Linked DNA regions of Schizosaccharomyces pombe. Changing the gene in region 3 together with the main gene of any one other region gives a genetic interaction. Each region holds a gene or a part of one and is shown on either strand. Other genes may lie near its edges.

What was found. Genes that interact genetically often act in the same process or in processes that back each other up.
Region 1: mutations in mcm4 (region 3) and cdc6 are lethal when combined (synthetic lethality), as found in Schizosaccharomyces pombe (one study listed by BioGRID).
Region 2: of mcm4 (region 3) and rif1, a mutation in one rescues a mutant of the other (synthetic rescue), as found in Schizosaccharomyces pombe (one study listed by BioGRID).

What each region holds. Positions count from the first base shown.
Region 1 is NC_003423.3:2,741,762-2,749,700, reverse strand, and holds cdc6 (DNA polymerase delta catalytic subunit Cdc6), read right to left. Parts: upstream 5,940-7,939; 5' UTR 5,859-5,939; coding exon 5,630-5,858; intron 5,578-5,629; coding exon 2,546-5,577; 3' UTR 2,511-2,545; coding exon of another isoform or gene 1,374-2,510; 3' UTR 1,105-1,373; downstream 1-1,104. Other genes in the region: ribonuclease H Rnh1, read left to right, coding at 184-910; hen1 (S-adenosylmethionine-dependent methyltransferase), read left to right, coding at 1,374-2,510; Ras guanine nucleotide exchange factor efc25, read right to left, coding at 6,536-7,939. UniProt on the Schizosaccharomyces pombe protein: Catalytic component of DNA polymerase delta (DNA polymerase III) which participates in chromosomal DNA replication.
Region 2 is NC_003424.3:2,764,456-2,771,808, reverse strand, and holds rif1 (telomere length regulator Rif1), read right to left. Parts: upstream 5,537-7,353; 5' UTR 5,440-5,536; coding exon 1,237-5,439; 3' UTR 1,106-1,236; downstream 1-1,105. Other genes in the region: serine/threonine protein kinase Ppk6, read left to right, coding at 1-873, 914-1,105; tpz1 (telomere-protecting protein), read left to right, coding at 6,376-6,489, 6,546-6,643, 6,687-6,937, 6,984-7,018, 7,057-7,198, 7,237-7,353. UniProt on the Schizosaccharomyces pombe protein: Negatively regulates telomere length. Appears to play no role in transcriptional silencing of telomeric loci.
Region 3 is NC_003421.2:897,515-905,320, forward strand, and holds mcm4 (MCM complex subunit Mcm4/Cdc21), read left to right. Parts: upstream 1-2,873; 5' UTR 2,874-2,887; coding exon 2,888-5,623; 3' UTR 5,624-5,911; downstream 5,912-7,806. Other genes in the region: 19S proteasome regulatory subunit rpn1302, read right to left, coding at 168-1,118, 1,229-1,313, 1,511-1,641; SPOM_SPCC24B10.02C (NAD/NADH kinase), read right to left, coding at 6,036-7,385. UniProt on the Schizosaccharomyces pombe protein: Acts as a component of the mcm2-7 complex (mcm complex) which is the putative replicative helicase essential for 'once per cell cycle' DNA replication initiation and elongation in eukaryotic cells.

The sequences.
Region 1 (7,939 bases), on a different chromosome or scaffold from region 3:
TAAGACTGCGTATCTCAAGAAAATGGTTTCGTTGTTAAATATAAGTTTCACGTTAAGCAAGTTTCGATACGGTCGTATGCTTTGCTTCAATTCAATCTGAATCGGTTTTTTCAAGATGATCTCTTATTAACATTTCCTTGATGGATACACCTTGTTGTTTAACAAACTCTTACTAATTTTTAGGGATGAGGCGTCGGATCAGGTGAAAGGTTATGGAGGTAATCGCTACAAGAAATTTGACAGCTATGAGGCTGCTCAGGAATTTTGCAGGACCGAAGGAAGTCGCTACTCCTCGTCTTCTGGCCCATATCGCCGCAGTACAACAAGTTATGGGTACTCTCCATATTCTTCTAGTTCCTCAAATTACTCTGCTAGACACTCCGATAAATATAGAAAGAAAATTTCTAGAAGTTATAGTACCGAAAAAGATATTGAAATATTTTCGAATGACACTCATGAAAAATCAATTGCGTGCTCGGATCGACAGGTCGTCTATGCTGACGGTTCTAGTTTGCGAAATGGGAAAAAAGGAGCTGTTGCTGGCTGTGGAGTTTTTTTCGGAAATGATGACCCAAGAAATATTTCAGTACCGTTGGCTGGGGAAGAGCAAACCAACAATCGTGCGGAATTGCAAGCCATAATCCTAGCCCTTGAAAATACATCTGGCGATTTGACCATCCGCTCTGACAGCAATTATTCCATTAAGTCACTAACCACATGGCTGCCTAAATGGAAGAAAAATGACTTTAAGACTAGCAATTCACAACCTGTAAAAAATTTGGATTTGATCAACCGCGCTTCAGATTTGATGAGTGACAGAAATGTTTCGCTAGAGTACGTGAAAGGACACAGTACCGATTACGGTAATCAACAAGCCGATATGCTTGCTCGGCGAGGAGCTTCTGAGTAAATGGTCATCTATGATGAGCGCTGTAAAAAATGGATATAGGTACATTCTTTTGAAATTTGCCGTATAATTTTCGTCTACTCTTCGCTGGTTGTATGTGCTTTTTTTGTTCTCGTTTTGCATAATGCTACATATTTTATTGTAATTAAATATCATGCTATTATAACAATTTTAAAGAGGAAATTGAAAAGTATAGATTCGGAGCTAAGATAATTTTATTATTTAACGTTGAAAATGACACTTCGCACTAGTCAACAATTCCCTTTTCAATTAAATTTGGTTCGGTGTCTTAACGGCAGTCATCGAAATCATATTGCAATGGACTTAGCAAAGAATTAATAACAATTCGCTTCGTAATGAATTTGAAAAGGCTTAAATAGTGGTTTTGAAACGAACATTCACAGTTAATAGGTAGTTATTTGACTAACGTGAAGAAAGTGTACCAAAAATACTTTGAGTTTAGACAATGGGTGTCTCTAGCTTTTACCCACCTTTGCATGTACAGCGTCGAAGGAAATTATTTAAAATACTTCAAGGAGGCTTCCCTGTGCGATCTTTGTTAGACATTGGATGTGGAGATGCTCGTTTTCTATCATATTTAGTACCTTGCAATGATCAAGTGCCTATAGAATTTCTGGCCGGTATTGATATTAACGAACAAAGTATTGAAAGAGCTACTGAGGCTTTACAGGTTAGAACCGAAGACTTTTTACAACTACGTTGGCGACCGCTACATATTGAATTATTGCTTGGTAATATTAAAGATTTTACTCATTATAAACATGTTGATGCGGTTGTAGCTTCAGAGTTTATTGAGCATTGTCAAGTTGCAGAGATTTTAGCCTTTGAAAAACTTGTTTTTGGAAACTTGAAGCCCAATGTTTGCGTAGTGTCAACTCCGAATTTTGAATTTAACACAATCTTTGAGAAACTATCAACCTTGACAAGTAGTATATCATCTCGTACTTCTACCAATTTTAGACATCCTGAACACGTTTTTGAATGGGATCGAAAAGAGTTTGCTAAATGGGCTTATAAAATTTGTAAAAGATACCCAGAGTATACTGTTGAATTTACGGGCTGTGGTTTGCTAAATGATCTAATAGATGGTGACGATTTGTTACATTTTCGCCCATCATCTACTTACGGTTTCTGCACCCAAATCGCAGTATTTCATCAATCTAAAAACAATGCTGCTTCTCATTGCTTCTTAAAAGACCAAAATTCAAGCATCCTTCTTTACAAAAAGATTACATACCCATTTATGGAGCAACTATTTCCTCCAACAGTGCAGCAATTTATGAATCTTCTGAAAAAAGCATTTTTTGATCATTTATTTGGACGTCACTGTTTACTTTTATTCCAGGTTATTGCTGGCAAGTGTGCTTTGTCAGTAAAATTACCTTTCTTGTTTATCTGGGAGTCTTCGCCTCTCATTCGACATGCCTTCCATTATGATGATTCAATTTACTTATCATATTGTCCTGAATTAAAAAAAAGCAAACATAAAGGTATAGCTTTGGCAAACTCGTTTAGTTTTCGCATTGCAAAAGTACTTAAGAAAAGTAGAATTTTTATTATAACTTTTCATCATTACGTTTGATATACACATTTAGTAATTAAAAACATCCATCTTTTTCACCAGGACATTTCATCAAATCTTTTCAGTAAGTCAACAGATTGCTGAAGTTTCTTGTGTTCTGCAATTCGCATATAAAATATGGGGCAGTCTCTACTGGTACAAATGACGTCTTGATGCATACTTCCTTGGCATCGCTGACATTGAGTCCATAAGCGAGCAAAACGAACTTCTAAATCATTCACTTGAGCAACCTGACGTTGATACAGTTCCGCCGATCTATTTAGACAATTCTCACATAAAGCAGTTTTACCTTTTTTTATGGGAGCTTTGCATCCAAGACAGGTCTCAACCTTTACTGCGAATTTCATTATTCCTCCAACACTGGGGGCTGCCATGGAAATCGTCCGAGTATGGTCACCATGAAGTAAAGAGCTAGCTTTTTCACCAAGAATAGGCTCAAAAATTCTAAGCAAAGGTTTGGAGAGTTGATTTTCCAAATAATATTTTGCATCAATAGGAATGTTATTTTCCAATACATATATAGGGTCCTCCGACCTCATATAAAATTGATCACCTTGTGCACCTTTAATAATAACGTATGCAACGCGATCTCCTATGGCTGGGGCGGAGCCAGCATCTCGTTTACGCATTCGCTCAGCCAATTCAACGTGTGCCATTTTGGCAGCATAATCAGTTTTTGATAATGCCTTTGTGATTACAAGTTGTGACATATCAATTTTGTTTTGTAACAAATCGGAAATAACTTTTTTTGTAAACAACTGTGCACCCTCTACATCCTGATCAATTAACATTTTTCTCAAAGCTGTGTCAATCACATAAGATACTAGAGGACAGTTATCTCTTCTGACAGTTTCTATTCCTTTAGAGTCCATTTTATCATAAGTATCTGTACGAGTCCAAAATAATCCTGCATAACGTTTTTTGGAAATTAAAAGATATGGAAAGTACACTTTCTCAAACTCCAGTTTAATAGGATTCGGAAACTGGTCTGAAACATAATTAGCTGCTTCCTCTCCTAATTTCATGGCTTCAGGTAACGTTTTAACGCCAAACTTAACCATAACAGAATCAGTGTCACCATAGATTACAACTGCATCGTGAGAGTATCCATTCTCAATTCTGTATCTCTTTTCTACAACATCCTTGGTTTTTTCAATCATTTGTCGACCATAAGAGGTAACAGAAGAAGAAATTGCTAAACACGGCAAACGTCCGTTGGTAGCACCAGTAAATCCATATACTGAATTAGCACTTACTTTTAAAGCTAGCTGTCTACCATCCAAAACAGCCTTTTTGAATGGGTCCGTTTCCTTTTTTAGATCTGCTTTTGCTTTCTTACGTGCATTAAGTAAATCAGCTAAGATAATAGGGAGTAGTCCTTTACGAACATGTGGTTTAACGAAATAATCTCCGTTCGGAGTCACTGAGTAGTCAACATCTTGCTTAAGTTTTAATAATTCTGCAGTATTTGAGTCAAGTAATGTCGTATAGCATAAATTATGGGCTTGCATAATCGAAGGATAAAGTGAACTAAAATCCAGTGTTGCAATAGGGGTATCATAGTATCCTTTAATCGGTTCAATGACTGTAGCACCTTCATATTGCTCATCTGTTCCATTTACACGTATATTTGGAACAACTAGGTCATGTTGAAGAGCTTTGCGAAACAATTGAGAAATAACTTTAATCTGTTGGCCTCTAGCAAGAAGAAAATTAAACGGTACACCTGTTACTCTTGCCATTTCAGTATAGTTAACAAAACACATTAATTTGTCCATTAAGCGTTGGGGTAAATATGCATCTTTCAGACAATAAATAGCTAAACGTCTTCTAGAATCGGCAGTGCCATTTTGCAAGTCAGTGATGATAGAATAGTGTACATCTTCTTTTTGCTCGCCTAGAAACTGAGAGCAGACTGCATTTAAAGAGTAAGATCGAAGCTTAAAATCACGCTGCATTACTTGTAACATATCAAGCTGCAAACGCCCAGGAATACTAGTGGTTTTGCTTTCACGAGTACCATATGCTTTACTTGAAAACGTGGTTTCCTTTGCGACAGAAAAAAAATTATGAATACGGCCAAGTAATGGGAAATTGTGAATGCGTAAGCTTTTTGCTCGATCCAAGAGGTAAGGGATATCAAAGTTGCAGATGTTGTACCCAATTAAAACATCTGGGTCAACATCACGAACAAATTTTGACCAACTTGAAAGCATTTCAGCCTGATTTTGAAATTCATATACTTGTGTTCCAACGATTTGTGAGCATGTATCAACACAAAAGACATTACGAACAAAAGGAGTGGAGTCTCCATACTGCGTTACTATACTTGCAATTTGAATTACAGGGTCAATAGAGGGATCAGGAAAAACGCCTTTGCGACCTGCGCATTCAATATCAAAGCTCATGATCCTCAGTGGGGCCATTTTAGACCACTGGCCTTCAGCTGGAAGACTGATCAAGTCTTTGTAATTAATCCAAGCTTCAATTTGACAATTAGAAACTCGATTCTGGTAACGAAATTGATATTTTGAAGCAGGAAGATGAATCCAATTCATACCAACAACATCACAGTCAATCATGAATCTAAGAAGATATTGCGTATTGCTCTCAAAAGTAGTGACACCGACACCAACAGGGAAAAGCTCTTCGAAGTTGAATTCTCCTCTTTCAAATACATTTCGTGCTCGAGATAATATACGAGGGTTAGTAGTAAAGATTTTAATGAATGGAGATTTTTCATTTCCCTGAAATCCATATAAATTTTCCTTCATCTCTATAATGCAATGATCGATCACACCCCCATTACAAGTAGCATCTAAATCTTGTGTGAAACGTTCTAGCATCTCAGGTCGAAATCCAACCGGGGCTTTAACATAAAAGTACGGAAGGAATCCCACAACATGAACAAGGATGCTGTTTCCATTGTCAGTAACACCAAACAAACGAATTGAAGGTACAGATCCTTCTGTGAACTCCTCACTATCGATTTGCTGAAAATAAATATCATCCTTCTCAGGATTTATTGCAGGTAAAGCTGGTCGTTGCCACTGCTGATCTTTTGAAGCTATCAAGGAGTCAGTATACTAATAAATGGTTAGCTATCCAAAAAACCTTACATTTTATTTCATCTTGGTCCAATTGTGAAGCGTATTCAGCCAGCTCATCCTCAAAAGATGAAGTTTTTTCTTTTGAGGATGAGCCCTTTTTATCACCATATCCATTTCTTTCGCTTAAACGTCGCCGTTTGACATCTGTAATTTCGCCATGAATTGAACCATTTCTTCGGGGAAATGGATAGTTTTCTTTATTTAACACGACGCCCTCATTTGAAGACCTATCTGTCATTCTAGTAATTAATTTTTTATTTATTATGAAAATTAGAACAGAAAATGGTAAATAAGGAAGACACCAAGCTTACATGCTCTTGGTTTTTGGTAGGAAGACGAGCAACTAAAAGGGTTTTGTAGGTAACAACAAATAGGTACTTAGGCGAATATCTTGTAGGTAAGTTCAAAGCGTACACCAATAAATTTTGGTATGAGTGTCAACTGCTGAAAAGGTAAAACCACATTAAATAGGTTAGCTGTCAAATTACGATGGAGAAAGAAATCAAATATACAAGTTTATACCAATCTCCATCAAGCTACATAAACCACTACTTAATGTATTCTTGGGCATAACAAAAGACTAATTTATTATTAATGGAAGATATTAGTAATAAAAAGGACGCAATTGTCCAAAAACAAAAAGAACTAGATTCCAAGCAATAGGAATTAAGAAAACTGAGCAGAGTCATCAGCCTACAAACCGACAATTCCGATAATTTATTCTGAGACTTTGTTTACCAACGCCTAATGAATAATACAACATCAAGGTCATGTCAGTTAAACCAATACGATAACATTAACAGTAAATACGTAAAGAGATAGATTAAAAGCTGTGTCTGAAAGACAACTAAAAGAGCGAACCCTATACGGGCTAAAACCAAAACGGGATTTTAAGAGAGGGGTAAAAAATAAGATTTAAGAAGAACGAGGTTCAAGTGAGAGTGATTTATCAAATAAATAGGACAGATCTTGGTTAACAAAGCGACACCGATGTAAAATATAGCTTTGAAGATCAGTATTAGATTGCATTTCGTAAGAGGAGGATTGGAATCGGCACACATCTGCGACGACATCGGCAAGTCGATGCCGCTTATTAAAACTTAACAGATGTGGAGATGAATCAAGAACATCGGGGTTACCTTCATCGATAAAAGTCAAGTCACTTAATATGACACCCAAAAACGGTACGCAAGGAAGTTCAGCCTTGCGAAGTAAAGCACGATAAGTACTGAAATTTTTCTTTGTTTCCACGATTTCACGTAAACCAGACAGACATATTATGTCTTCAGCTTTAACAAGTTTGTACGCTGCATGTAAACGATAAATAGGAGCAGAATTTAAGGCAGAAACAATAGACATTAGAGTGGAAAAGTTTTGGAGGGACAAGCACTTGTAGGCAGTTTGTATAAAAAAGGATATTACTGCTGTACGAGCTTTGGTATTCTTTTTCTCTAAAATACAATTGATTATCCAATAGGTGAAACAATTCGAAAAGTTTATATAATTTCGGACAGCGCTGCGAGAATCGCGACTAACCCAGCTTCTAAATATCCATTCCCTCGAAGGAATCTGCTTTAGATAATCAAACTCCAATAATGTCATCTGGGAAGCAAATTCTTCAGGAGTATAAGCATATACGTTTAAAGAAATAAAAGTAGCCATGGGAGAAGATAATAGGCGTTGGGTTAACGAATCTGGAGGCTCTTCAGTCCAGAGATTGTCAATTTCCGATAAAATTACACTGCCAATATGAAAAGATGGAACAACATGGTCACGTAAAAAGGTACGCATCTCCGAAATCAAATAAAGAGTGTTACGGGCTTTTAAATCTTCAAAAAAGTATTTTTGAACCCACAAATTCATAACGGTGCAGACGTTCTTCTTGGTAACAAAATTATCTCCCTTTTCCCAAGAACTATATGCTGTAGCATCTAATCCTGGTGGCGGTAACTCGTGAAACAGAATGACAAGAAGCGTAAACAATTCCTGGGGGGTAGTGAACGTTTTATAAGTCAAAAGAAACGAATGGCGAAAATCTTTGTTCAAGTGAACGTTCTGGACAAGGTAATGCACGAGGGCCGGTAAAGTTCCACCTTTAACATTGTTATCGCTTTGCACAACTTTATTGGTTAACAAATTATCCAGCATCAAAATTGATTGCAAAGAGTTTCTGCCAAGTGTTAAGGTATCCTTGCTCATCTCGCTAACAGCGGTAAAATCAGAACTTCTAGAAATTCTAGTAGTACCTTTGTTAGTTTGACGAGCCGGTTCGTCATCTTTTGCTGTGTTTGCATTTGAAAACTTGTTTTCAAACTCTTT
Region 2 (7,353 bases), on a different chromosome or scaffold from region 3:
ATTGATTGCCAGATTATTTCTGTTTCACCTCATTCTGTTAAGTCTAATGAGCCCGCTTTTGGAGTATGGCTTATATTTGATTCAGTGGATAATCGTGCGTCTGATTTCGTAAGATCAATGCGCTCCTCTGTGATCTTAGAAGAAGTCGTTATTTCTGACGAGAGTGAAGAAGAAGAAGACCTTTCGGCAGACGAAGATTACGTTGATTCGGAATGGGAGGTTGTACCACACAACATCGCAAGCTATACAACTATCAAGGAATTAGGAATAGGCGCTTATGGTCAAGTAAAACTTGCAACTTATAAATCTAACAAGGTTCATGAAGTTATTTTGAAATCAATTAGTAAAAGTAGGATACTTTTGGATTCATGGATGCGAGATAAAGATCTTGGAACCGTACCTATGGAGATCAGTATACTTCATTTTTTGAAAGCTCATTCCCACCCTAACATCGTAAAAATGATAACTTTTTTTGAAGACAATGAAAACTACTATTTGTTAACTGAGCCCCAAAAGCCTGGAATAGATTTGTTTGATTACATCGAATTAAAACCATCGATTTCTGAGAAAGAGAGCAAGGCTATATTTTTCCAAATCGCATTAGCTGTTGCCCATCTGCATTCTTTTGACATAATCCACCGAGACATCAAAGATGAAAACGTAATTCTAGAAGGAAACGGATGTGCAAGACTCATTGATTTCGGTAGTTCGAGCCTTACGAAAAACGGGCCTTTTGATACATTTCGGGGTACAGTTGGTTTTGCTGCTCCGGAGCTACTAAGAGGTGAAAAATATCTCGGTAAAGAACAGGATATTTGGGCTTTGGGTATTTTATTATACACGATAGTTTATCGGGAAAACCCTTATTATAACGTAAGAGAATTATTATAATGGTATGCTAACTAATTATTAGATCGAAGAGATTTTGGACGCCAAACTTAGAATTCCTTTTGAACTATCGAAAGATAATGTCGATTTAATTTGTCGAATGCTTGATAGAAATGTGCATGATCGCATTACTATTGAAGAGACGTTACAACATCATTGGTTTGATGATATAAGATATTTGGACACATCACATATACGCATACCTCTATCCTCTTGAAACTAGAAAGTTCTTATCTATATACATATGTTATATATTAAATGCCAGTATGAACCCCATTAATAAGATTGATTTATGACTAAATTGACCCCAATGCCGGTCCGTAATTCCTGTACCCATGAGTTGAATAATCAAGCAATTCTAGATAAAATAGCTCTCTGTAATCTCATCAACAAATCACTAAGCTTCTGAACTTCCTCCGATTTTAAATCTTGTATATTCTTTTCGATTTCAAAAGTGGCTTCCGTCATTGATTGTATAATGTCTTGAGGACCAGATTTATCAAACTCTACAGATGAAACTTTGTTGGATTCATTGTTTGTATCAATGGACCCTGAAAGTAAGCTCGAAAATTGTCGTTTCTTGGAATTTTCAAATCCGTTAACTGCAGTTGTTTCATTCTCGGTTTTTTCCTCTGGTATTTCAGTTTGGCTCAAACTACTTTCATTAGTAAGTACACAAGCAGATTCGTCCAGATTCTGTCCCTGTTCTGAAATCCCATGTCGTTCTATGACTTCCACATTTTCCAAGGTTGCGGACACTTCGCTAATTGCAACTTCCTTATTCACGTTGGAAGATTGGCTCTTACGTCCAAGTTTTCGTTTCTTTCTAGTACTGCGAGGAGTAGATAGAACACCTTCACGAGAGGCAGTTTGCCCTTCTGGTTCTATCTGAGAATTTTCTTTTGAACATTCATCATTATTTGCTGTAGTGAAGGAGTTATTGACACTCGGCGTTCCATTATTATCAGCTTTCCTATTGCTTTGGCTTGAAATATTTTCCTTTAAAAGAGCGTTAGAGTTGTCTGCCACATCTATAGCTTTATCAGGTACAATTGCTTCATCTCTTAAAGAAGTATCGTCTACAATTACTTCCTTATTGACCTTGCCAGACGGTGTTGTCAAAGACTCTTCCATATCAGTAGCTTCATTTTTTGTTTCATCAATTTTTTTAACATCACCTTTTTGTCTTTTATTTTTCTTAGACGCTGGCATTTTTCCTGCTTTCCCTTTTGAGCTGTCGTCTAATTCTTGCACAGAAGCAATCTGTATGTAATTGTCGTTATTAGGTTTACCAGGACCAGAGAATTCGGTAGTCTTTTCTCCTTTATCTTGTGAAGAAGCATAAGGACCATTCTTAGAGACAGATCGCAACTCATCAACTCCTTTTAATATATCCGACATCTTTTCGCTCGATTGATGGTTGGCTTGCTTACCACCAGGACATAGTGACTGAAACGGTAAAAGAATAATATAAGTTTTGCTCAGATACGATATTGTTTTTTGTAGTTCAATAGGGTATTCTTCCGATTCAAATTTACCAAAAACTTGATTCCAAAACTTGATAGCAGCAAGGACCACCTCTTTTGAAATACTTTTAAGACCTGATGTCAACAGCGGAGAAAGAGATTCTAAAATATTAGAAGCTGTAGCAGTGGAATTTAGTAGCAGCTGCAAAATTAATATACAAAAGTTGGTACATGATTTTTGTAATGTGGTAGATTTCTCTAATTGTGGAAAAGCGTTCATAAGGAAGCAAGGTATCAAACCTTTAGACAACTTACAAATAGTATGAAAAATGAACTCTTTGGGTATTTTCTTTATAAATTCAGAAAGCTCATGAAGATAGCGACACTGTAGATCTACTTGATCGGAACTTGATAACCTTTGTAACAGTGTATTATACAATTCGACCATGTGGTTGTAACTATCCAGGTGTTGTCTGATATTTTCAGGTAATGTTACAGGTGGTAGCTCCTTTGTGCAACTTTCAAAAGTAGAAACTTTCATCAAAGATATGGCAAATGAATAAACTTTATTTGCTTCAAAACTTAATACATCATCGAGGATTGTAGTAAAAGGATCAACGACAAAAGGAAAAACGCTACCACATCCTTCAAATTTATAAATAGCGGTAAAGTATTGTTGAAGAAGATTGTTTACACTACCAGCATCACTAATACTGCAAAACTTCACATTCCAACTTAATAGTTTAAGTAATATGGATCGCTCCTCTTCTGAAAATCCTTCTTCTACTGAATTATTTCCATTCCGACTTTTAAGTTCTGAAAGCAGAGCCTCCGAGGTCAACCTAGATACTTCATGGGAAACGAGAACTCTCGCAAGCACTAAAGTTCCATCGTCACTCAAAGGAGATACACAATCCCAAAGTAACATAAGTTTTAAACCAAATCTTAAATGATATTCTTCAATGGATGACAGAATACTGCTGTAAGCGGCATGTACAGTCGAAAATAATGTGCCGTTTGTTAAAAGAGCGAGAGAGTGGAGCAAGTAAATTAAGGGGCTAATTGGGACATGATCATAACTATCGATTGCTTTTGTCTGATCTATTAAAACAAGCTGATTATCGGAAACCAGATATGATGCTTCGACGAATGTATTAATACCAAAAGCTTCAATGGCAGACTTAACCATTAATGCAAACCTCGAGACTCTTTCCACATACAGTTCATCTTTACGAATAGATTTCGAATATAAAAATTTGTGAAGCGATGAGCATATGCAGCATATAGCTCGGCCAGTCTCTACAGACCTTTTAATTTCCTTCTGTCCAGCACTGGCCAAACACTTTATATAAGTACTCCAAACAGACGAACTTTGTTCATAACTAAGACCTCGTATATGCTGTTTACGAGCAGGCGTAGTGGTTTTAACAGTATGATCTGGTTTGGCTAATAAAAGTAAAGTCTTGACCGGTTCAATTGTCCGACTACAATTAGCACGAACCCAAACAGGATTGAGCTTTGGAAGTTCTTTTGCTTCTACCGATTCACGGCAAACCAAGCGGTCATCTTTCCAAACTCCATTAGACAGCGTGTTAAAGAGAGCCAAAAGTATGTTAGAAGACTCAAAAATAGTAACCTCGTTTTTCAAGGCACACTTTTCAAGTATGTTGACAATAACTGAATCCCACAGTAAAGAGAGCATGGCATCAGAGATTCCGGGCCTCAAACATGCATATATTAAAGCAATCAAAGTAGTCATTGCTGCATTCTTTACTGTTGGCAAATTCCTTGAACCTAGAACCATGGAAATAGGCTGACACAAAAGAGTTAACCGCTTGGTAGCTTGTGTGAGGGTTTCAGAAAGAGAAAACTCATGAATTAAACGGATCCAAGATGTTTGGGCTGCACACTTAGTTAAAGGATTCATGCTGTTAAAACAAAGCTGAATAATTTTAAGCCATGTGTTAAAGTATTCCCATGAGGAAATTCTTGCACCTCCCAAAACTGATATGATGGCAGCCCAGGCATGAGCCACATAGACACCGTCGTCTTCTTCAATGACAAGCTTCTCAAATTGCTCTGTCATGATAAGAACAAATGCAGTTCCCTTAATATCACTTCTAAAATTAGCGAGGATAGTCCGTGCGACTAACTTGTCGTGATACAAATGTTTGCTCAGGTCCAAAGCAAGTAATAACGCTTTCTCACGGATAGGCCTTGAGGCATCAACTAAACAAGCTAGCAGATAAGGAGCCCAATCAACTACACGACGCGAAAATTCTAGTGGAAATTGGCTTAAAATTTTTGTTAAGACAGCTAATCGCTCCTGACCTATAACAAGGGAAGGGAATGAAATGTTAAAACACACGTCTAAAATACGATTACATAAAGGGTGAATGGAAAGAGGGCATTTTTGACAAGAAAGAAGATGCAAATGCTGAGCCGCGAGTGCTTTAGTTAACTTTGGTCCTTCTAAAAAATTCAGCGACTGCTCAATGAAGACTGTGGCAGTTTCTGGTTGAATGTGAGAAGAAATAGTTGGATGCCAAAGAAGTATGCTGAGAAGTTTGTTTGCTTGAGTATTCAATTGAAAATCGGGACTACCCTCTGAATTGTTAGAGCATCTATCCGATAATAAAAAATTGCAAAGTTGATTTAAAAGGGGGAATATTGGATCCTCGGGAAGACTTGGTGTATAGATTTTCAAAAAGGAAGACAGTTTTGAGTATGTTTCGATTCGAGCAGATTTTTCAACATGTTGAAGATTTTCTATTCCGGAACAAAACGAGGATTGTAGTTCTTGCAAGGAAGTCTCTTTTTCAGATTCATTTCCTTCAAAGGATTGAAAATTTGGTTGTTTGATACTAGATAGAGGTGTTGAAGTTTTTAAGATACCTCGTTTGGGTAAACCGAAAGATGGTCGATTTCCACCGGGGGAATTTTCTAGTTCACTACTAAAATTTACCTTCTTCTTACGAATCGAACTACTAGGTGAGCTGCTCAGTCCTACAGCTTGTGATGATGGGGTTGAAGGTTCTTGTAGAAGCATATTTGAAGCCTCCTTCACAGCAATTTCTTTTGTCATCGCAACATCAGCTGTTATGCTTTTAAAAATGTTTTAGCTTCATGGGACCGATCGCACCAAAAAATTGCACAAATAAGTTTATTTACAAAATGGTGGTAGTAGGCTAAATGTGAGTTGAGTTATAGATGTAAACACTGTTCAGCACGGTACCAAGCTATTGAGATCTTTAACAACACTGAAAAAAGCTAATTTATTCTTTCAATTATGAAATTTTTTTTACTTATTTCTGTACACCAATTTAGACTTAGCAGCAGCAAATTGAAGTAGTATAAAGAATAAAATTGAAAAGCAGATTGGTTGTATTGTTGATCTTTTATAAATAAATGTCCGGTAATTGCTTCAATCTTTAGTATGTTTGATATCCGCACATTTAAAATGCGTGGTTAAAATTCTTGTAGTAATAAGTGCAGTAACTAAATAACTCAGTACATTCTTAAGCCAATTCATTCCACCCTTTATTAACTTATCACCAAAATTTTATAAAACAGTTCTAAGCAAAAGAAAATTCTTGCCTAATTTTTCAAGTTTTGTCGTCTGGGGTAGAAGGTTACAGCAATTCCTTTGAAGTAAGTCAATTTTGTTAATGGGAGATACAGCAACCTGCTATTATTTGATTCTTCTCTTATAAATTTTTGGATGAACCATTACTAAATACATGAGTAGTAACTTCTAAAGATTTGGAATACTGAAAAGTTGTTATCCAAAATCTAGATTGAAAGTGCTTTTGACAGTAACTAAACTAGAAGAACCAAGTCCTTGGAGTTGATGATAATATTTCAATTATTTTGTTTTGAGGAAATGATGAATGCAGTGTTCTGCTGACCTTGCTTTCAAGAAAAAAAGTAGACGATTAAATATCAACAGACTTCAGTCAGCACTGTTACTTATTAAAAAAAGTTGATTTTTATATAAAAGTTAGCTGCGTTAAACAGTGCAATGTCAAATTGCTTAAAACATCCTTGGCTTGAGAATGGACTATTGAATTTGATCAAAAACGCAGATGTCCTTCCGATACGTGTATTTAAATGTCAGCCTTTACAAATATTTGAGGTATTATACTTTATCTTCTATCTTTCGAACCAATTCTGACTATATTTAAACTTCAGTATATACGATACGAACATCCAATTCGATGCAAGCTATCCGATACAGAGTTTTACATTGAAGCAGAGTTTTCGTCTCAGAGCATTTCGGACTTAAATAAGTATGTTTCAATTTATCAGCACAATATTGATTGTGATTTTTAGTTTTACTGAAAAAAGGATAACATCTTTAAGAGGAGGTATCGTGACATTGGGCAATTTTTTAATTCACTTAATTCCTAGTCAATCAGGCATTATTCCTTGGATACAAGTAGAGTCATTTAATTTTCAGGGTTGTGAGGGTGCTGTTTTTGGAAACCCTAAAGCTATTACAACTTCTGCATTGTTTAATGCATTGCTTCAATCACCTTATCTTGCTGCGCTTGCCAATGAATTTAACCGATCAATTAAAGAAGGTATTATTTGTAATTTTACACGATCTATAATTGACCCTTTTTCTAGGATCGTCTTACCAGGAAGCCTCCCTTAGTCAACAGGTATTTTGTAAATTTTAGCCAAGTTTACTAATGTCAAGGAAAAACCTAATGACAATACTAGTAATTCTAGAGATATCAAAAATAACATCCAATTTCATTGGAAAAATATGACTTCCTTAAGTATAGAAGAATGCATCATTCCAAAAGGACAGCAACTGATCTTAGAAAAGGAGTCTGAAGGTACCAAAGCAACTATTATTTTCAATTAACATGTATAGAAAATACTACTCATGGAATTTACCTAGAGGAAAGAAAAATGGCTCAAGGACTTCATAATTCTGTTAGTGAAACCCCAGAAGTTAAGCAAGAGGATAACGATGAAGATTTAGACGCGT
Region 3 (7,806 bases):
GTCAACAACAAATAAACAAAAAAAAAAAAAAAAGGAAGCTTAAATGTTGAAATACGATTACTCTACTTTTACAATTACATCACGTTCTTTGTGCTAGCTTGTTGTTCATAAACATAACATATATTAAAATATATATATACGAATTCGTCTTTTCCTCTCCACGCTTCTTATTCGTCCTTTTCGTTACTTTCTCTCATTTCAACATCTCCTTCCTCCTCAACTTCGCCATCAGAACCTTCTTGTGTTATGTGCGAAATCACAATCACCCCTTCATTCACCAAACGGTCGTACAACGCATGCAAAAATAATTCAGCTCCACTAGCACTTTGCACTTGCTCTAAACTCAAGTTGCAAATTTCACGCAACGACTCTGACTCGGGTTTTGCAACTGCCTCCATTAAACTCGACAAGTGCTTAAAAAAATCTCGATTTTCGCTCAACTCTGCACGACCGCTGATGCGCAAAAGGTCGGAAGGAGAATGTGGGAAAATCTTGGGATACACTCTAGGATGTGTAATCACACGATGAGATTCTCTGTCAATGGAGAAAGGCTCGACAAACGTCGTTTCATTCAAAATCAAGGGCTGAAGTTGCTCTAATAATTCCAACGTACGTGAATGAGTATAATCGATGTTTTCATCCAAAGGGGAGGCCGTTGCCTCCTCGTGATCTTCGCCATTCTCACCAGCTGTAGCATGTGGTCCATTCAAATTCGACTCACTTGACGCACGATACATGTTTGCTGACTCGTTAACGTTAGGAAATCTTGGCAGGATAGCCGGTGCTTCGGCTGTAGGTGATAAAACTTCCCAGTTAAAGTCTTGCAGAGCATCTTGGCTTGCTGCACCAAACAGTTGCAGCAGTTGGCTGGTTGATGAATCATCCGTACCTCTACTGCTAGAATTATTATGTGAGTTGATAGTCCGAGTCGTATTCACAGGGTCAGCAATTAATTGATTGATTAAGGAAGCTGTTTCCTTGTCTTTTTCATCACTATACTCCTGCATCCAGTAAAAATGAATCTGCGAAGAGGATTTAAATTTTAGTGCATATACGCGTCCCGTGGTACATTCATCAATTTTGATAAACTCTGCTTCTTCTGGAAATATGATGTAGTCCTTCATTATATGTTAGTAAACATAAACCAAATTAAAAAAAAAAAAACGCAAAAGTAAATTTATATATATAAATAGGTATACTTTGCAATTGATTTAAATTGTCTTCATACATCTTCTACTTCTCTAGAAACCCTGGCCCTTTCTTTCCAATAGAAATGCAATAATTCATCAGAAGCCATTTGCATATAGATAACTCTAAACAAATGTCAGTATTAAAAATCAGATCTTTTAACTTTATAAACAGAAAACAATTCCACAAAACCCAACAGTGTGGATTTTCACGCATCCTTCCAACGTAAACATGCAAAGAAGCTTCATAAACAATTCTTTGGGTAGAATTTCGTTTTCCCAGTAGAAAGGACTACTATCTATATTATTATTATAGTACATACCCTTTTCGGTGATCAGCTTGCAGAATATTCGTTCCTGGCTTTCTTTGAAGTTTTCCAGCTTTTACGGAGACTAATCCATACTTTCCTCTCTCGCTAGTCTCGTTTCTTACTCTTCCAAAAACTGATTCCATTTGTAATTTATTTTTTGTCAACTCAAAAGCTCACGATTATTGACCTTGTGAATTGTTGTGGTATAGTTGAGTATGCAGTGTACACAGTGCAAGTGAGCAAAGTAATCCACACAAACGTATCATGTCTATAGACATGATTTCTCAAAATCATTTAATTTTCTAATTGTCGCCACTATAATCATCTTTTATCATGTAATAGACAATCTTTTTAGGTGGTTAACTGCTCTAATATTTGAAGCTGATTTATCAAGCCGCATTTGATGGTTTCGCCTAAAAAGATGTTTTAATAGCAAATTAATACTACACTTTAAAAGGAAAAGGAACGTTCCACTATGCAGTGGAATTCATCTCTTAAAGGGCCTTGAAAAGACATAAGCCAATTTTTGTATCATCGTTAATGGCATCAATAGTAAAACAGAATAAACCAGTTTTCACCAATTATACATAGAAGAAAATCAAGATACAATAAATGTCTATAATCCTTTCAGGTTTTGAAGAGCAAAACATAATCGAGAAAAAGTATGCGTCCTACACAATGGTATTTCACTAGAAATAATAGAAAAATACATTCATACACTATTTGAAATTCACACCATATAACTCATAATATACAGACTTAAGTTTTTTTTATTAGAGACAGTCCAGTAGTCGAATGGTCAAATGAACTCTACAAATGGTTAATATAATAACAACTCAGGTATTCAATATGAGAGAAAATTCAAAATAAACCTTATTTTAAGAAATATTATTAGTAAAATTACTAAATCACCATCTGCCCTCTTCAATTAGCGTCAAATCACAGTTAATAGATTCGACCTTCAAATACAACTGGTAGTTCCAAATTGCAAAAACGATCATCTCAAAATGTTAAACTAGCATAACGTTTAATTAAAGCAATGTAATCCTTTATTTCAACATTCTTTTCATATTTCTCTTCATTCGTCCAAAAAAATAGAATATCACTTAAAAGGAAGTAAGTCAATAACAAATTCATAATACCTTATTTATGATAACAAATTTGCTTTAATTGATCCTAATATCTAGTGTCGCAAAGTTTTTTAGTTTACATTTTCATAGTCAATTACTGGTAGCTTGATGATCAATGGAGAATATGACAAATTGTTAAAAAATTATACAAATTTCCAATTATTTAAATCTTTGCTATGCTATTTATCTCTTCATTGTTGTATGTTTATGAGTAGTTACTCTACTCCCTTACACTGTCTTTCTACACCCACCACGAGTCATGTCCTCTAGTCAGCAAAGTGGCAGAGCCAATGAGTTGAGGACTCCTGGAAGAGCTAACAGCTCTTCAAGAGAAGCAGTGGATTCTTCTCCGTTATTTTTTCCTGCTTCGTCTCCTGGTTCTACACGCCTTACAACACCGAGGACTACAGCGCGTACACCTCTCGCTTCCTCTCCTTTACTGTTTGAATCTAGTTCACCAGGTCCAAACATTCCTCAGAGTTCACGTTCTCATCTTTTATCTCAGCGTAATGACTTGTTCCTTGACAGTAGTTCGCAGAGAACACCGCGCTCGACAAGACGTGGAGACATCCATTCTAGCGTGCAAATGTCTACCCCATCTCGTCGAAGAGAAGTTGACCCTCAACGTCCCGGGGTAAGCACTCCTAGTAGCTTGTTGTTTTCTGGGTCAGATGCACTCACGTTTAGTCAGGCGCACCCAAGCAGTGAAGTAGCTGATGACACTGTCCGTGTCATTTGGGGAACAAATGTATCTATTCAAGAAAGTATCGCTTCCTTTCGTGGATTTCTACGTGGGTTTAAGAAAAAGTATCGACCTGAATACAGAAATGAACTTATGCCACCTCCTGATGCCGAACAACTAGTGTATATTGAAGCGCTACGAAACATGCGTATTATGGGTTTGGAAATATTAAATCTTGATGTTCAGGATTTAAAGCATTATCCCCCAACCAAGAAGCTATATCACCAGCTTTACTCATACCCTCAAGAAATCATTCCTATCATGGATCAAACCATTAAAGACGTTATGCTAGACTTGTTAGGAACTAATCCTCCCGAAGATGTTCTTAATGACATTGAGCTTAAAATTTACAAAATTCGTCCTTTTAATCTTGAAAAATGCATTAATATGCGTGATCTTAATCCTGGTGACATTGACAAATTGATCTCTATTAAAGGTCTGGTACTTAGGTGTACACCTGTAATACCCGACATGAAGCAAGCATTTTTTCGATGTTCAGTTTGTGGTCATTGTGTTACCGTGGAAATCGATAGAGGGCGAATTGCTGAGCCCATAAAATGCCCTAGAGAAGTCTGTGGTGCTACAAATGCAATGCAGCTAATTCATAATCGTTCTGAATTCGCCGATAAGCAAGTTATTAAACTCCAAGAGACACCTGACGTGGTACCGGATGGCCAAACCCCACACTCTGTAAGTCTGTGCGTATATGATGAACTGGTTGACTCTGCTAGAGCAGGAGATCGTATAGAAGTCACTGGGATTTTTCGCTGTGTACCAGTTCGTTTGAACCCTCGCATGCGTACTGTAAAATCATTATTTAAAACTTATGTCGACGTTGTTCACATAAAAAAGCAGGACAAACGTCGTTTGGGTACGGATCCTTCTACGTTGGAAAGCGATATTGCTGAAGATGCTGCTTTACAAATTGATGAAGTACGGAAAATATCAGACGAAGAAGTGGAAAAAATTCAACAAGTTTCAAAGCGGGACGATATATACGATATTCTTTCCCGGTCTCTGGCACCTAGCATTTACGAAATGGATGATGTTAAAAAGGGGCTTTTGCTACAGCTATTTGGTGGAACGAACAAGTCTTTTCATAAAGGCGCAAGTCCGAGATATCGTGGAGACATAAATATCTTGATGTGTGGTGATCCATCTACGTCTAAGTCTCAAATTTTGAAGTATGTCCATAAGATAGCACCCAGAGGTGTTTACACTAGTGGCAAGGGTTCATCTGCTGTTGGTTTAACTGCCTATATTACTCGTGACCAAGACACGAAGCAACTAGTCTTGGAAAGTGGTGCTTTGGTACTGTCAGATGGGGGCATTTGCTGCATTGATGAGTTTGACAAAATGTCCGATGCTACACGTTCTATTCTTCATGAAGTTATGGAGCAGCAAACCGTTACAGTTGCCAAGGCTGGCATTATTACTACTTTGAACGCTAGGACTTCTATTTTAGCTAGTGCAAATCCAATTGGAAGCAAATACAATCCAGACTTGCCTGTCACCAAAAATATTGATCTTCCGCCTACTCTCTTATCTAGATTTGATTTGGTGTATTTAATATTAGACCGCGTGGATGAAACGCTGGATAGGAAGCTCGCAAATCATATTGTTTCTATGTACATGGAAGATACTCCTGAACATGCTACAGATATGGAGGTCTTTAGTGTGGAATTTTTGACAAGCTATATCACATATGCTAGAAATAATATTAATCCTGTCATTAGTGAAGAGGCAGCAAAGGAACTAGTGAATGCTTATGTTGGTATGCGAAAGCTTGGGGAGGATGTGCGAGCATCTGAGAAAAGAATTACTGCTACAACAAGACAACTGGAATCAATGATTCGTCTATCTGAGGCCCATGCGAAAATGCATCTTCGCAACGTTGTTGAGGTAGGAGATGTTCTTGAAGCTGCTCGCTTGATTAAGACCGCTATTAAGGATTATGCAACTGATCCTGCAACAGGAAAGATTTCTCTTGACCTAATTTATGTTAATGAAAGAGAGACTTTGGTACCTGAAGATATGGTCAAAGAACTGGCGAATTTAATTTCAAATTTAACTGTGGGTGGAAAAACTATGTTGGTCAGTCAATTGTTAACTCGGTTTCGTGAGCAGAGTTCTACTCGCTTAGATGCTTCTGATTTCGAAGCTTGTCTGGGTGCTTTGGAAAGGCGAGGACGTATTAAGGTTATTACCAGTGCTGGACATCGCATTGTACGTTCAATTGCACAGACTGATTAATTTTTTAGCGAATAAGCTGGTATTATTCATGAGCCATAAACCATAGGTCGTTGTTGAAAATCAAAGACTACAGAGCATAATACGAATGTCTTTCTTGTTATATATACACACGTTCTTTTTGTTATAAAAATATTTTACATATTTATCGAGGGATCCTTAACATTCATTTTTCTTTTTTTTTTCGGCTTTTGAGTATGAACTGAACAATGAGTAAACATTATGAATATAAATTCGTTAATACCAAAGTTGAAATAATAATAATAATAATAATTAACATAAACTTTCAAAAAACTAACAGATATCTAAACAATCGTAACCAATAATTCGCCATGATTCGTAGAGGCAGTGTGTGCCTAATTTTAAGTATTTTCAACAGTAGTCAGATGTCATTAAAAGAAAAATGGATAGCAATTTAACCATCAATGTCTGCAGAAAATTCTCTGCAATAGGAATTATCTGTAATATCAAATTTATCGTCACTTGTATCCTTAACATCACTCAAGCTTGGTTTTCTAGAAAAGGGCTTTTGACGCTCACGCACATTCCAATTGAATTTATCTTCTAATACCTTGGTCCATTGGTATCCTGGATTTTGAATGGTTGTGAAAGGGTAATGAGACGTAACAATTGATAAATAGTCGCCTCTATGCATCTCCACAGATTCATGACGGTCAACGGAAAAGAATGCACTACTTCGAGAATCCAAAGGGATCTCAACGTTCAAAACATTGTAATCTGGTAAAATAATAGGACGGAAAGAAAGCGTATGAGGACAAACTGGTGTTACTAAAATCGCATTTAGTGCAGGATGTACCAGAGAACCACCAGCATTCGCTGAGATGTTGGTGGATCCTGTAGGAGTAGCTACAACAAGTCCATCAGCTTGAACCACAGTCATAAGTTCGGAATTGTTGTAAACATTCAAGTTACTAATAAATGGATGTTCTCCTCTACTAATGAGTATTTCATCAAGAGAGTATGTTGTGGAAGCCAAAGAATACTGCTTAGTTTTTTCATCGTATTTATGAAAAGAGCACTGAAGCCGCGAACAAAACCTGAGTGACACGTTTTGAGTTAAGACCTGATACAAATGCTGCTGATAGTTAGATAAACTAAAATGAGTCAAAAAACCAGGGACATCATCATCGGAAAAGGAAAGAACAGGTGGCCCAATTTTTTGAAATAACCACGATGTGTACAATAATGTAGAGTTGTCGCCAATTGTTATAGCTAAGTCAAAAATACTTGGTTTAATCAAACAAATATACGGATTCCAATACTTGATCCGGTCAATGTCGGTATTTGCTTCTTTAGCGATGTTATGAGCAGAGAAGCGCTTGGAACGAGCTAGTCTCATATCCACATATACCTTGGTTTCCGGTGTTCCGATTGTGAGTATATATTTTGTGATTTCTGCCGTCTTGTAAACTAACGAATGCTTTCGAGGTTTCGTTACAACTAGTATATTCTTTGGTTCCAAGGCAAAGGAGCCATTCGCAACCTCATTATACATAAGCCTGGAAGCAACCACATTCTCTATATGCATCGCAGAGGAATTAGAAGTCCTAGATTCTTGATGAAGCTCACCAAAGGGAGGATGAGCGGGTGAAGGGAGGTTAGAAGTTGCCAATTCTCCAACCGGTGTATTTAGGCCCGACAAATCAAACTGCATTGAGGAATTCGACAAGCTGTCAGCACTGCATTGTCGAAAATGAAGATTTTTTTTCTTCAGCTTGTTTATTTCCTCAACTTTGGTAGCCATTCTGATTTTCTAAAACGAAATACCAAGCTTATCCTACGATGTTCGCTGCAGCTACTAAACAGTCCAATTTGGATTAGTCAAGTCCCTCCAATTTCCAGGTTCAACAATATTGTATCTACAAGTATAATCGAGTGGAAAGAGATTAAATATTGCTACATATGAATGTGTAGGTATCTTGGTAAATTCTAAGAGCTGAGTTTACGTAACATGAGCAGCATGTCCTCACCACCAATTTCATAGTTTTGATGAAGAAATTTACTTGATGATTTTATATAAATATAAAGGCTCAATAAATATTATTATGATACTTTATGGAAATGTATATGTACGAATGATTTTGATGTAAACGTTTGTGATAAGTTTTTAATTTTCAATACTTTTATTTTTTGATGCTTTAAAACAAATAAACCACTCTCTTTAA